Saccharomyces cerevisiae S288C: one gene and its partners. The gene in region 1 interacts genetically with each later gene. Each region holds a gene or a part of one and is shown on either strand. Other genes may lie near its edges.

Evidence for each region.
Region 2: mutations in DBF4 (region 1) and CHL1 together harm fitness more than expected from each alone (negative genetic interaction), as found in Saccharomyces cerevisiae (4 studies listed by BioGRID, with this or other methods).
Region 3: of DBF4 (region 1) and SLD3, changing one enhances a phenotype caused by changing the other (phenotypic enhancement), as found in Saccharomyces cerevisiae (6 studies listed by BioGRID, with this or other methods).

What each region holds. Positions count from the first base shown.
Region 1 is NC_001136.10:556,125-562,362, forward strand, and holds DBF4 (protein serine/threonine kinase activating protein DBF4), read right to left. Parts: upstream 4,502-6,238; coding exon 2,387-4,501; downstream 1-2,386. Other genes in the region: triose-phosphate isomerase TPI1, read right to left, coding at 1-348; acid phosphatase DET1, read right to left, coding at 932-1,936; SCF E2 ubiquitin-protein ligase catalytic subunit CDC34, read right to left, coding at 5,316-6,203. UniProt on the Saccharomyces cerevisiae protein: Regulatory subunit of the CDC7-DBF4 kinase, also called DBF4-dependent kinase (DDK), which is involved in cell cycle regulation of premitotic and premeiotic chromosome replication and in chromosome segregation.
Region 2 is NC_001148.4:537,435-542,470, forward strand, and holds CHL1 (DNA helicase), read left to right. Parts: upstream 1-1,950; coding exon 1,951-4,536; downstream 4,537-5,036. Other genes in the region: RQC2 (Rqc2p), read right to left, coding at 1-1,502; transcription factor TFIIIC subunit TFC8, read right to left, coding at 4,648-5,036.
Region 3 is NC_001139.9:294,014-298,438, reverse strand, and holds SLD3 (Sld3p), read right to left. Parts: upstream 2,508-4,425; coding exon 501-2,507; downstream 1-500. Other genes in the region: TATA-binding protein-associated factor TAF6, read left to right, coding at 1-261; YGL114W (uncharacterized protein), read right to left, coding at 2,802-4,425. UniProt on the Saccharomyces cerevisiae protein: Required for loading and maintenance of stable association of CDC45 with chromatin during initiation and elongation of DNA replication. Also involved in temporal regulation of origin firing. Required for the association of PSF1 with origins.

The sequences.
Region 1 (6,238 bases):
AGCGAACTTGGTCTTGTCAGCAATGAACTTGTCATCTTCGTGGAAGTAAGATCTTCTTTCGGAGTGACCCAAAATAACCCACTTAGCACCAACATCCTTGATTTGGTCAACGGAGTTTTCACCGGTGAAAGCACCAGAAGCCTTCAAGTAGGCGTTTTGAGCACCGACAGTGACTTGTGGCTTCTTAACCAAAGAGACAGAGTAGTCTAAGTAGGTAGCTGGAGGACAGATAACAACTTCGACATTTTCTGGGATAGAAGCAGTGTTCAATCTTTCAACAATTTCCTTAATGGATTGTTTGGAACCGTTTAATTTAAAGTTACCACCGACAAAGAAAGTTCTAGCCATTTTTAGTTTATGTATGTGTTTTTTGTAGTTATAGATTTAAGCAAGAAAAGAATACAAACAAAAAATTGAAAAAGATTGATTTAGAATTAAAAAGAAAAATATTTACGTAAGAAGGGAAAATAGTAAATGTTGCAAGTTCACTAAACTCCTAAATTATGCTGCCCTTTATATTCCCTGTTACAGCAGCCGAGCCAAAGGTATATAGGCTCCTTTGCATTAGCATGCGTAACAAACCACCTGTCAGTTTCAACCGAGGTGGTATCCGAGAGAATTGTGTGATTGCTTTAATTAATTTCGGAGAATCTCACATGCCACTGAAGATTAAAAACTGGATGCCAGAAAAGGGGTGTCCAGGTGTAACATCAATAGAGGAAGCTGAAAAGTCTTAGAACGGGTAATCTTCCACCAACCTGATGGGTTCCTAGATATAATCTCGAAGGGAATAAGTAGGGTGATACCGCAGAAGTGTCTGAATGTATTAAGGTCCTCACAGTTTAAATCCCGCTCACACTAACGTAGGATTATTATAACTCAAAAAAATGGCATTATTCTAAGTAAGTTAAATATCCGTAATCTTTAAACACTATGTAGTTAGGTCTCCCTCACAATCAGTCCATTTGGGTAGCACGGTCCTCAGGACGTATCTATTGATGGATTCGTCCAGTTCCATCACCATTACGCTCCCGTTAGGAACATTGGTAAACGATTCAAACTCTTCGTATGTCCATCTAAACCATTTCATCAGGAATACTCTGGAATAAATACCATGTGTAACTAGGACAACAACATCTCTGGGTCTTCTCTCTTGCCTATCATGGAAGTGCCTGAATAAAGTCTCTTGGAAACTGGCGACTCTGTCATATACATCTGCCGCACTTTCTCCATGAGGGAATCTGAAGAAGAAATGACCATACGTAGATCTCTTCTTCATAACGTCCTGCATGCTATTGATTTTTTGGAAATTACCAAAATCTTGTTCCCTTATTCTTGGCTCATCCTTAACCCGATATTGCAGATAACATTTTCCAGGCTTCCCTTCACAAATATTATCTTCATTATTTTCGTAAACACCACCAGTATTATTAAGTCCTCTCGGCCAAAATGCATGTTTCTGTTTACCATGTGGATCATATCTCATATCTTCACATATACGAACACCACTGTTTAATTCATTATATTCATCGATGACGTCCAAAATACCTTTCAATGTTTCCCTTGCTCTTCTATAGGGTGATGTATAAAAAACTATGTTTGTGTCTTTTTCTCTACTCAGCCTGGTATAGTCCTTCAGCGGTAAAGTTCTCCTGCTACTTTCATCTTTAATATACTTCTTAGCCAAATCCTCCACCAAGTTGTGATCGTCTACGTTTAAAACACGTAATAAGTCAATACCAGCTTGTCTAGCTTGGATTTGACCTGTTTTCGTTAAAGAAATCAGATGGTTAGGAATATAACCATTGACCTCCTTGTTTTTATTTGATTCGCTTTCCCCATGCCTTATTAGTACAATTAACCTAGGTCTGGCATTCGTAAAAGAACCGTGACTGCCAGCAACATCTTCACTAACATGAACATTCTCTTCACACATTTCTTTTACTAATACTCTGAGTTATTCAAATGGAATGCTGTAGCGTAAGTTCTTTTATGTTGAACCATGAATACGAGCTGCAATTAATGCAGTTGAGAACTAGCTTTTTTTTTTTCATGCCTCTCGGTCTCTGCAGGATATCGGGTAAAAATGAAAACTGGGACATTAACCGCGGTGGGTACTCGATCATTATTTGTTCAGAATGAGTTATGATATGAACGGTAATTAATCTAGATGATAATATATATATGTATATGTATATATATGCAATTGATAATATATGGACGAGTAAATAAGAGTTAAGTCAATAGCAAGAAAGTAACAAGGGTGAATGAGAAAGTGATTCAATAACATTGCCGTTGATAGCTTTTTTGTTCCGAGCAGCAATGGAAACGGAACAATACTATTTTGATTTTATCACTAAAAGCTACTGCACTTTACGTCGTGTCCCTATATTTGAAATCTGAGATTTTCAATTAACGAGTCAATAGCCTCAAAATTTAAATCGTTTTCAGCGAAAGACAAATGCTTCTCAGAAACTATGTGTTGTTCTAAAGATTCGTATTTTACACGACAATTTTCACAGTATCCGGAATTTTTTACCGTTTCTTTCTTCACCGGCTGTGCTGTCTGTGCTGTCTGTGCGTTAAAATGTAAGGTGACGTTTGTGGAAGTTGATTTCTTCGATGCTGTTGGAGATTCTGTGGTTGTTATCTTGATGTCATTATGAACTTTGGAGTCTGCGGAGACTGATTTGGTAGCTACCTTAGGGAAATTCTGGGGCTTTCTATTAGTTTCTAAGTGTACAGCACTATCTTTGCCCGTCTCTTTCGAAGGGGCTTCGTCTTTTTTCAAAGCATTAAAATCTAATCTGTGTCTATTTTCCTTTGATGTTTCAGCAGTAGTTGCTATAGTGGCTGTATAATTTTTGTTATTTCCATTTGTCTGCTTTACTCCCAGCTTTCTATCAACCATTAGTCTACTTAATGACTTCATGTTCTTACTCATGACGCTTGCTCTTGTTGGGCCCAAACCATTGCCAAAAGAGGTTGCCACATCATTAGATTGATGTGCACCACTTGCTTTGATTTCAAATGCCTGACGTGACTTTGTTTTCAAAGTGCACAAATCATCCGGCACTTCTTCAGTTTCTTGCCTTGCAAAAGTAGCTAATACTGGATGGTTTAGTTTTGGTGTGGCAGCCAGCTCTTTTCGCTGTGGGTACTTATTCGATTCTTCTGCTATAGATTGTTTATTTTCTTTTTCTTCTTTCAACGGAGGCTCTTTGGTTTCAGTTTCATTTAATAATATACTATTTTTTTCATCGGTTTGGTCAGCATGTTCATTACGAACATCTTGAACTGCGCTATCATCCGTCTTCTTTAACTCGGTCTTCTCAAAATTTTTTGCCTTTTCTTGCATCCATTTTTTGAAGCTCTTGGTAGAATCGTTGCATGTGTGAGGTATGAATATTAGGTTTTTCGTTTGATCATTAACTGATGACGTATTCAGTAAGGTGTCGGCATGATATTGAAATAGAGCACGAAGTTGCAGTGCATATTTTTTGTTTGCTTTGTCTCTCGAGTATCTCTTTACTACGCGCTTATAAGAACTTTCGTCATAATTCCTATCCCCTATAAAAGGGCATCTTCCGAATGAACCTATTTTCAATATTGGGTAAGGTAGTTCGTCTAAGTTTGTTAGTTCTTGAGGTTTCCATTCCAAAGTTATTATGGGGGCCCAAGTTTGCCATAGGTCATAAAGGTATACATGAGGATATTTAAAGTAGTGAATATCGTCTCTTTTAGTTCTGGGGTCTCTATCCGTTGGTCCATATAATTTTTCATTGTGTAGAAGATTGGACAATGTGGGCGCAGCTAAAGAAGCAGATTTAGTCTTGCTCAAATGATCCAAATCAACATCAAGATTTTTCAGAAATCTGGCAGCCTTTTCGTAACTCCAAACTTTCATGTAGTTTTTTTTAGCTCTCGATAAAATGTCGGTATCTTTTAGTAAATATATGTTCTCAACAGACCTTCTTGTGATAACTATTGTGACAGTAGTGTCAAAAAATTGAGTTATTTGCGCACCCAATGTAAGAAACCCTCTTTTCAATAAATCTCTGCGTTTGTCCATCTTGGACTTATTATATGTATTCATCTCTACATCATCAGTAATGTCAAAGTAAATGCGAGAATCTCTTTTCATTATCTTTTTCCAATTTGTTTGCCATTCCAGCAATTCCTTAGGCGTAACCCTTGGCTCGACATTTTTCAGACCCGTACCTTTGCTGACTTGGACAGCGCCTTCAATAGACCTGGCCCTTTCTATTCTGGCCCTTTTCTTTTCATGCAAATGCTGCTGCTGTTGGAGCTCGAGGCGCTCAAGAGATCTTTTCTTCGGAAAGGATTCAGTGGTATTGTTATTGTTGCAATTATTGTCGTTAGAAAACACATTCAAGTGGCCCGCTGCTGTTGTTGATGCGGCAATTCCATTATTATGTTTCAAGTTGGTATCTGTTTCCTTTAACGGAGACCTTATTATCATTTTCGTTGGAGAAACCATTTTCTTCTTTCTTTTCTAAATATGAACCAAAAGCAGAATTCCAAATGCCTTTCAGATTCAAACCTTGAATTCTGAAGATAACTAGCCCTGCAAGCGAATTCAGATCTAAAGGAATCTACACCTGGCTGAGTATAGACTATGCAACTTGATTTTTGTTTTTCTTGGCCTGAGCCATTACCGTTATTATTATCGTTATTTCTTTATTTTTTTCTTTTTCGCAAAGATCGACCTAAGACGCGTTTGCAAAAAAAAAACCATTTACTTACTGCGGGTAAAATATTAAAAGAAACTTAGGCGTTAGCCAAGAACCGATAAGAAAATAAAAATAAAAAAGGTAATGAGGAATTAGATGCAAAGAGATATAGATATAAACACACACACACAAATATATATTTATATACATATGTATGGTGATATATATTCAAAAAAAAAAAGTACAGTAACTTAGAAACTATTAGTGGGACGGATTTGGTTTTCTTATTTCTTTCTTTTTAAAAAACTTTCTTAATATACACGTTTGTGGTTATAAGGTGGTGTAAAGTAATGTAATGATATACACTTTTTTTCTCAATTCTTTACCTTCTTCTTTCGTACGGTGTACTGCGAGAAGTAAAATGGGATGATGAATTAATTTTTCTAAATTTTTCTTCGACACTTAGTTATTTTCTTCTTCCCCTGTCAATCTCAGATTATCATAGGGAAAAATGTAAAGTGCTTTATCGACAACGTATCGCGTATGTATAAATTGATTCATGTTTTGCGTTTGAGCTGAATATGTTTTGTTAAATTTTGTCTTCTTTCTTACTGTTCTTTTTTATATTTTCTTTGAAACTCTTTCTACATCCTCCACATCTTCACTTTCATCTTCAGCCTTGTGGGGTTGTTTCCTATCCATGACGCTGTCGTTATCTATACTATCGTCGTCATCATCGTCATCATCTTCGAATTCGATTCTTTCGTCATCGTCGTCGTTGTCGTTATAGTTGTAAACGTCATCATCTTCAAAGGGGATATGGTTGTTTCCATCGTCGTAGTCGTCGTCTTGTAAAATGACGGACCCGTTCTCATCGTCGTCCAAATCACTATCATACCAAAAATTATCCGCCATATCCTTATTCGATTCTGGTTCATCTAGTTTACTTTGAGATATGTACGCCGATTCAGAAGTGGGCATTATGAAACCTTTAGGGATATCTTGTTTCGATCTTTCCACTTCCATTTTGACTCTTTGCTTGTATTGTTCAGGGTTCTTTCTGTAATCAACAGCGGCATCGACATTTGCTGGCGAGTTGATATTGGGGTCCTCTAATAGAGATACTATAGAGATCAACACACTTTCCACGGTCTGCACGGGGGACCACGTTTCAGCATCAGGTTCGTCGGTCATAGGATCCCCACTTTGATGTAAAATAGAAATACAAAGCCTGCCATCCCTGTAAACGTTTGGATGGTAGATAGCCGGCGTAAATCGAAACTGTGGTGGAGAAAAGGGAAAGTCTTCCGGAAATCTCATTTGAGCTTTGAAAAACCCTCCATGATAAATGGAATCCTCATTTAGCACCATAACACCTATGTTCCAAGTGAAAATATTTGAATCATCCTCTAGTTCTATATGAAATGAGGGAATAGCTTTCTTAGGATCAGTAAGTTCTCTATATTGCCGTAACAGTAAGCTAGAAGCGGTGCTTTTGCGACTACTCATATTTACGTTGTATTGTTCTTTTTTCCTTGTTTGGT
Region 2 (5,036 bases), on another chromosome or scaffold:
TTAGATTTTCTTTTCATACTTTTTGTACTCCTCTCCTTCGAACTCTCCATGTCTTCTGAGTCTGAGTCACTAGAACTATCAGTAGTATTGCCTTCTGATTCATTGTCCTCGTCTGAAGAAGTGTTGAGTTCCTTGCTAGAGAGATCAAGCTTGACGCTAATTTTGTTCTGTTTCAAGTTCAAAGGCAAGTTCAAAAGCTGAGCAATTCTGTTGCCTTTTTTTTGTTCACTTTTAATTAGTTTCTCAATAGTGTTCCAGTCCATTTGTTGATCGATTAGACCCTGAACAGCAAGCTTAACTTCCTCTATTAAGGGTGCATTTTCAATTATGAGATGGCCTTTCCTTTCATTTAGTTCTTGGACGTCTAATAAAGCTTGTATTTTTCTATCATTTTCGGCACGAGCATCATCGATTTTCTTTTGCGCTTGCGATTCCTGATTTTGTATACGTAGAGCATACTTAGAGGATTCTATTGTTGAGAAAAATTTGTCTAGCGTCCTATTGTAAGGACCTTCAACTTCAATGATACAAGAAGAGTCAGTGTCTCCCCCATTTATATATGGCTTAAAGGGATGGAATGTATCATAAATAAATTCCAAATCGGCAGTATCTTTTTCAGAGATATAATTTTCATTTCTTTTGGCCAAAATGTAACCCTTTCTATCGGTGGTAGTTAAAAGTTGATTATATTCTAACTGAGTACTGTTTAGCAATTCGGCGAGTGAGTCTGTTTCCTCCAAAAGATTTAAACAAGACTCTGAAGGGTCGATATTGAATACCTTAAGGTTCTTTGATAATAAATCTGAAGACAAATGAGGGACTTTCGAAAGCAGCAGTTTATGGATGGAAGGTACTTTCACTTTTTTTTTTTTAGCGCCCTCCTTCCCTTGAATGTTAAGTTGCTTAATAACAGTAATGTCTGATTCATACTTGGCTTGAACTGCTTTTATCCACTCGTTGACTAGTTCAGAGGTGTATTCTGCCTTTCTGTTTTTTTCTATGGATTCATCAGCAGACTCGTTATTTGTGGTAAAAAGTGATTCGTCAAACATTTCATAAATTTGTCCGACCTTATTTTCATGCTCTAGAACGACTCTTTGCAAAGCCATAATTCTTCTGTTCTCATCTAGAAGAATGACATTCCCTGCACTGAAAAATTCCAAAACTAAATAGAAGTGGCCATCAGCAAATTGTAGAACAAGAATTCTATCCTGGTCTACTTGCTTTAAAGCTGTTAACCGTTTAGCTTTAAGATGCTTCCTTAGTTTGACAACAAAGCCGGAAGGAGTTGGAGGTATTGGCCTACTAAATTCAGTTAAGTAAATTCTTAAGCCACAATCGACAACAACATTGAGTTTAGAATCTGGTTTATTAAATTTCAGCAAAAATTGTTTTGAGGAATCGGCAATGTTATATATATTACTCAATCGGTAGCCTTCCAAATCCTGTTTCAGCTCTCTAGCCAACAGCAGTAAATCTAGGGCACTAATTCTTTGCTTCATCGCTATTAATCTCTTGCCTGCCTGACTTCTTAGACCGGATAATAAGTAGCAACTTTCTTTTCAATTTGCCATCGGATTCTTTTAAAACTATTTTTCAGGCGAAATTTCATTTTTCTATCCTTCCGCAGCATGAATGAAAAGTTCAAACGCGTCCAAATATACAATAGATATAGTGCATTAGTTAATGTCCGGAAGAGAAGTCGCAATTGTTGAAAAGGTTAAAACTCAGGCTATTTATTGAAAATCCAATTTTAATCGTAACCACAGAGTTGAGGTAGAGGCTCATTTGTTACCTGACAGTTGATGACATTATCACTGACATATTTAAATTCATCATTAGTGTAATCAGCACATGCTAAGTTGAGGGCACTACTGCAACTTCAGTTTGTTTCCTTAAAACCCAAAAGAGTAGAAAACCAGGCTAAAAACAGTCACACTAGTCCAAAAAATGGACAAAAAGGAATATTCGGAGACTTTCTATCATCCTTATAAGCCCTATGATATTCAGGTACAGTTAATGGAAACTGTATACAGAGTGCTATCCGAAGGGAAGAAAATAGCTATCCTGGAAAGCCCCACTGGGACAGGCAAGACGCTGTCCTTAATCTGTGCCACGATGACTTGGTTGAGAATGAATAAAGCAGATATTTTCACCCGCATGGAAACTAACATCAAAACGAATGAAGATGATAGTGAAAACCTAAGCGATGACGAGCCAGACTGGGTTATTGACACTTATCGAAAGTCTGTTTTACAAGAAAAGGTGGATTTGCTAAATGATTATGAGAAGCATTTAAACGAAATTAACACGACCAGTTGTAAGCAGTTGAAAACTATGTGTGATTTAGATAAAGAACATGGAAGATATAAATCAGTTGATCCATTAAGAAAGAAACGCAAAGGCGCTAGGCACCTTGATGTATCACTTGAAGAACAAGATTTTATTCCGCGCCCGTACGAATCAGATTCTGAAAACAATGATACCTCCAAAAGCACAAGAGGAGGAAGAATATCTGATAAAGATTACAAATTGAGTGAACTAAATTCACAAATAATAACACTTTTAGACAAAATTGATGGGAAGGTTTCGAGAGATCCAAACAATGGCGATCGCTTTGACGTTACAAATCAAAATCCAGTGAAAATATATTATGCATCCAGAACTTATTCACAATTAGGTCAATTTACTTCTCAGTTAAGATTACCCTCGTTCCCATCATCCTTTAGGGATAAGGTCCCAGATGAAAAGGTGAAGTACTTACCACTTGCTTCGAAAAAGCAGCTTTGTATTAATCCAAAAGTGATGAAGTGGAAAACATTGGAAGCTATTAATGACGCATGTGCGGACCTTAGACATAGTAAAGAGGGATGTATCTTTTATCAAAATACAAACGAATGGCGTCATTGTCCTGATACGTTAGCTCTCAGAGATATGATTTTTTCAGAAATTCAAGATATTGAAGATTTAGTTCCCCTGGGAAAATCTTTGGGAATTTGTCCCTATTACGCCTCGAGGGAGGCACTTCCTATTGCGGAGGTAGTGACTTTGCCATATCAATACTTACTTTCTGAGTCCACCCGTTCAAGTCTTCAAATAAACCTTGAAAATTCTATAGTAATTATTGATGAGGCTCATAATTTGATAGAAACAATAAATTCTATATATTCCTCTCAGATCTCGTTGGAGGACTTAAAGAATTGCCATAAGGGGATAGTAACTTATTTCAACAAATTTAAGTCCAGGCTCAATCCCGGTAACAGAGTAAATCTATTAAAGCTCAATTCACTTTTGATGACTCTGATTCAATTTATAGTTAAAAATTTCAAGAAGATAGGACAAGAAATAGATCCTAACGATATGTTCACAGGAAGTAACATCGATACCCTAAACATTCATAAACTATTGAGATATATAAAAGTCTCCAAAATTGCTTACAAAATTGACACGTATAACCAGGCACTAAAAGAGGAAGAATCGTCAAAAAATGAAAATCCAATAAAAGAAACGCATAAAAAATCAGTTTCTTCTCAGCCATTACTTTTCAAGGTTTCTCAATTCCTATATTGTTTGACAAATTTGACGTCAGAAGGACAATTTTTTTTTGAGAAAAATTATTCAATAAAGTACATGCTTCTAGAACCAAGTAAACCTTTTGAGTCAATACTAAATCAAGCAAAATGTGTAGTCCTTGCAGGTGGGACAATGGAACCCATGTCAGAGTTTTTGTCGAATTTGCTACCTGAAGTTCCTTCTGAAGACATTACGACCTTGTCGTGCAATCATGTTATACCGAAAGAGAATTTGCAAACTTATATCACAAACCAGCCTGAGCTTGAGTTCACATTCGAAAAAAGAATGTCTCCCTCCCTTGTAAATAATCATCTTTTTCAATTTTTTGTTGATCTGAGCAAAGCAGTTCCTAAAAAGGGTGGTATTGTAGCTTTTTTTCCAAGCTATCAGTATTTGGCGCATGTAATTCAGTGCTGGAAACAGAATGACAGGTTTGCTACATTAAATAACGTGAGGAAAATATTCTATGAAGCAAAAGACGGCGATGATATTCTATCTGGATATTCTGATTCGGTAGCAGAGGGAAGGGGGTCTCTTTTGCTGGCTATTGTTGGGGGAAAATTATCAGAGGGAATAAATTTTCAAGATGATTTATGTAGGGCTGTGGTGATGGTGGGCCTGCCGTTCCCAAATATTTTTAGTGGAGAACTAATAGTTAAAAGGAAGCATTTGGCCGCTAAAATAATGAAGTCAGGCGGAACGGAAGAGGAAGCTTCACGAGCAACAAAGGAGTTTATGGAGAATATTTGTATGAAAGCTGTCAACCAAAGTGTTGGACGTGCTATACGGCATGCAAATGATTACGCAAACATTTACTTGCTCGATGTGCGATATAATAGGCCCAATTTCCGGAAAAAATTGTCACGTTGGGTGCAAGATTCTATCAATTCCGAACATACAACACATCAGGTCATTTCTTCAACACGGAAGTTTTTTTCAATGCGCAGCCTGAATTCACGCTAAAAGGAATACGTTTACGTGTATACTGTGATTACTACTATATATTATAGTAAACTAAACTGATATTTATGACTACTTTTTATATCTGCAAGTAATTCTTTGTCTCTTGTATCCTTACATAACTTCCAGCGTTGTTCCACAATATACGCTTATTTCATTAAATCTTTCTAATAGACCCCTTGTAAACCAACCATAATCATTCAAATCATCTCGTTTTATGTCTATTACCCGTTGTTTGCTCACGGGACATATCTTTACATGCGTTGTAAGTATTGGAAGCAAAGTGACACCACACCTCTTCCACGTGTTATTCGTGGTGGATGTTACAGTTTCAGGGTCAGCCGTGAAGCTTTCTAAATTGAACGTTTCCTCGAGAAAGCTGTTCTTCATCAATAACGTGCCGTTGTAAATTGGCGCTTCTCTTTTAAGTATTGCCGCTATAGATAATACGCAAGCTAAATCAAAACTATTCGTTAATTCGGATTTTTTGTTTATAGCGTATT
Region 3 (4,425 bases), on another chromosome or scaffold:
GAGGAACATTTGAACGATGACTCCAATCCAACTAGGACCAAATTTACTAAAGAAGAAACTCAAATCTTGGTTGATACTGTAATTAGTGCATTGTTAGTTCTAAAAAAGGATTTACCAGATTTGTACGAGGGTAAAGGTGAAAAAGTTACGGATGAGGATAAGGAAAAATTGCTAGAGAGGTGTGGTGTCACTATTGGATTTCACATTTTGAAAAGAGACGACGCAAAAGAATTAATTAGTGCGATATTTTTTGGCGAATAGTGAGAATCGGTTTATACTAATAGTACAACGGTAATGTTATATAACAGTTTTTACATACGCCATTGTATGTATATATATATATATGCATGATGAGTTATTTAATTGTATACTCAAAGGCCCCCGAAGTGCGAAATTGTTGTAGCTTAGTTTTATTTTATTCCCTTTTCGTCCAAGAAAAGCTACAAAGATGGAGTTGGGTCAACTACTTGCCAGCGAAGGTGGTCTCGCAGTTTCTTATTCTATGTGGATTCTGGAGCAAATAAACGTCTTCTTACTCTCCTTTTTGAGCTATTTTCCGGGGGCTTATTAGTGGGAGTAGAGGTAATATTGGAGGTATTTTTTCTGCCTTCATGCGTATCATCATCCTTGAAATTTAGCGGCGATTCAATGATGCTTTGAAGTTGCGCCTTTTTATTAGGTGTCACAGTTCTTTTTTTCACAGCAGGAGTGGCTTGAACTTGTACGTTTTCCTCAGAGTCTACACGTTCATGTAGGCGTATCGTTTCATTGATATCTTTACGTTTCCCAACTCTGCGAAAAGAGTTATTCATAGTTTTGTATGCATTAATAGTTGAGTGCGAGAAAGGCGTTTTGAGTGTGATAGTTGATGAATTCGGTACTCTTGTTGTGCTTAAGTCAGAGACAGAAAACTGCCGTTTTTGTAAATGATTCATCGTTAGATCAGACTTCGTCCTTCCCAATTGTGAAGGGCGCTTTAAGCTTCTAGTTTCACTTTCGAGAAATTCATTCAAGTTAGAGTTCGTTCTAGAATTCAAAAGTTCAGGGGTGGGCGAAGCTATAGATTTTCTGCTGAACAAATTAGCGTCCACCCTTCTCAATGCGGGTGAAGATGGGACGGAATTAATGATTGAAGAGCGAGAGGCACGTTGACTCGTGGATAACCTGTTATACGTTTCTACAGTATTAGGTGACGATACATTTGTGCTATCGTTGACCTTTTTCAGGGCTCTCTTTGGTCTCATGCTTGGTCCCTTGAGCTTTTGAATTATAAATTCAACGGCGTGTGGTACCTTTTTGTTGAAATATGGAATAAGAACATAATTTATGAACCCAACCAATGAGGCTTCTTTGCTTTTGTCTAGGATATTTTTTTTATGCTCTTGTATTGTTCCATTTGATGCTTCTATGGCATCTGGGTTGGGCGTTTCACTTGATAGTAGAATGTCCAAGATGCATGCTCTATCTAAGTACAAGTCTAACTGTTCACAATAATCCAAAGATGTTGTTATTCTCTCGATTCCTTTGTCTTTTTCGCTGGTTTTTTTCTTCGATCTTCGACGAACTAATCCCTTTTTTGTCAAATTAAGTGATCTTTTCTTCAATTTTAATTTATACTTTTTCTCAAAATCTCTAAAATTCCAATCTAAATCGTTCAATCCTATTATCTCTAATAGCAATAATATTTGTAGCTTTATTTCGCGGGATTTTAATACAACACATAAATCAGCAATGGTTGAGCTGTTTTTGTTTTCATCTTGGATAACAAATTTTGTGAGACAGTTCTTCCTTTTTTCATCTGCTATGGGACTAGAAAAGGGCTCTAATAAAAGCCTGTTATCATGTCTATCTTTGAATTGTACAATTGAGAGAAGAAATTTTTGCAGCATGGCTTGATAGGCTATTTTGTAACTGTCACTTCCGTACTTGGTTCGGCAGGTATTTTTGAGCCTTACTAAATTTGACTTGACGAAATATGCGAGAGGCGTATGTATGGAAAAAAGAGCATCATAATACTTACTTTCTATGTACTCTTTAGGGTCTGAATAGTAGTCATTAATTTTTGATTCGCCTTTCATATCTGGGGGATTCATATCCAGTTTAAGGTCTTTGTCCTTCTCAAGCTTACACGAGCCCTTGGGTTCTTCTGACCATAAATGAAGAAGCTCTTTAAATTTCAATTCGTCCCATGTTTTTAACGTTTCACGCTTAGCTCTTTCTCTTTCAACTGTCGTTACAACTTCCGTACGCCTTTCTGGTAAGCTGTAACCATTGAAATAATTGTACGGCCACTTAACCCAAAATCCTGGCCCATATTCCTCTAGTAGAAAATACTCTTTTCTTGATTTCATGCAGATGTGTTTCAATTGACGTCGATTCTTCTGTTGCAGTAATTGGAGAATGTTACTGGGCACGTCCTCGGATTTAATAATAAGTGGATGATCTAAGCTCAAGTCAAGGCCTTTTGTTGCTTCTTTTACCGATGCTATGACTTCCCATGTTTCCATTATGAGAGGTCAGATCGTTCCTACCTATACGATCTTAACCCTTCAGCAGTTATGAATGAGGCTTCTGCCTGTTTTAACAGTGCCCATCACTTTTTTTTATTTTTCTTAAATGGACCATGTTGTACACCAAGATAGCCGATATTTCAAGGTCGCGTATAATATAACATTTTGCCTAGGATTTTTGTCACCTAGAAATATATATACAGGGAAATCTAAGACATCGAATTATGTGATGAGTAAATAATTTAAAATTTGTAAACTTTGTAAATTCTTTATTAGTAAAATATTATATACCTAATAGTGAGGGACATTTAAGCAGATGAAGAGCATGTTTATTACGCTAAAGATACCTTCACCTAAGACCAACCCCGAACTGAATACAATCATTTTTGTTTTCGCATTTAAGTCACCCCTATGATTCTTCAACCAAAAATGCGAAGCCCACCCGCCGATGAATCTTGCAATTGTAAAACTGGGAGAATTAAATATACCAACACCGACTGCTACACCAGACGGAATATATAATATCCACCCGTATCCGTAATCTCTATAAGTGTTTCTGATTAATGATAAAACGGCAAATATGACTCCGAGAATCATGGAGCACTCCAAGGCCTTATCAGGGAGCCCTTTACCAGTTACTAGTCTTGCACAATCTATCCACACTACTGCTGTCGGTATCCTGAATTGCTCACTCGGAATTGAATAAACTTTATTGTAGCACAAATACATGAAGCTAGACAAAATAATTGACCAACAGGCCCCTATCAATTGGGCACAGAACTGAGCTCTTGGGGAGGCGCCGAGGAGGTGCCCCGTTTTCAAATCCTGCATTAAATCGCCCGCCTGTTGGGCAGAGGCTTCTGCAATACCTCCCGATACCACGTTCATTAACACTGATCCAGGTCTATCCCTTGGTATGATAAAGGCAAAAATCAATTGAGAGATCTTACCAATGCCGCTCACAGGATTCAGATCGGTCTCTCCAAGTGCTCGAATACCGAGAATAGATAGAAACAACGCAAGTATCAAAGCAGTGATAATAGCATATAGGGGAATTACTTGTATCCCAAACAAATATATTATGGAAACAATGCATATTATCGAGGAGACTAGACATCCACTGATAACGGTGGTATAGCGAACCAAATGCTTCGAATCTACTTCTATTTCGTTATCTCTACTCACTAATCTTACGGTGTCCTGCCTTCCATCAACATATGTATTTCTTCTGCTGCTATTAATGGCGCGTTCCTCCTCCAGTAACATAGATTGAAATGTATCATCGATTATGTTGTTCAGTAAAGCAGCTTTGTCATCTATAAGAATAAATTTCACAATGGACTTCACTGTCACAACAATAAAAGCGACTACACTGTCAGCAACCATTATTGAAAGCGACGACCAAAGAATCCATCCTTGCACTCCCTCCTCCCAGTCGTGGACATCAGCATCTGGTGGTACCCATCTTTTGTATCTCGCCAATGGTGCTAACACACCCCAGCCTAAGAAGCACCCGATAAGCATATACGATACTGTTGGAAGACCCATTATTATCCCTTGGCCTATATACGCAGGCGACGGCTGAAAATTCCAGAGATAATTGTTCGAGAGGTATTTTCCGAAGACTGGAATAGACCGTATTACCGGTACAAAATATGACACCATGGTGTAAAGCGAAGAAACAACAAAAGTTTTCAATAAAATAATAATATTCGCTCTGTAGTTCTCAGAGCCAGTAGAAAGGATAGAACTTCCATCTTGGCTAGTTGCCGTATAATCACCAAGTTCGCTATGAGAAGAGTTCATTAAATAATCCGCCTCCTCTGGATCTCTGTTGGGTTGTAGCACTTCAGGGCATTCATTCAATCTCCTCTGCCTCATTTCCAATAACTCTGACTTAGAAACCTCTTGTAAA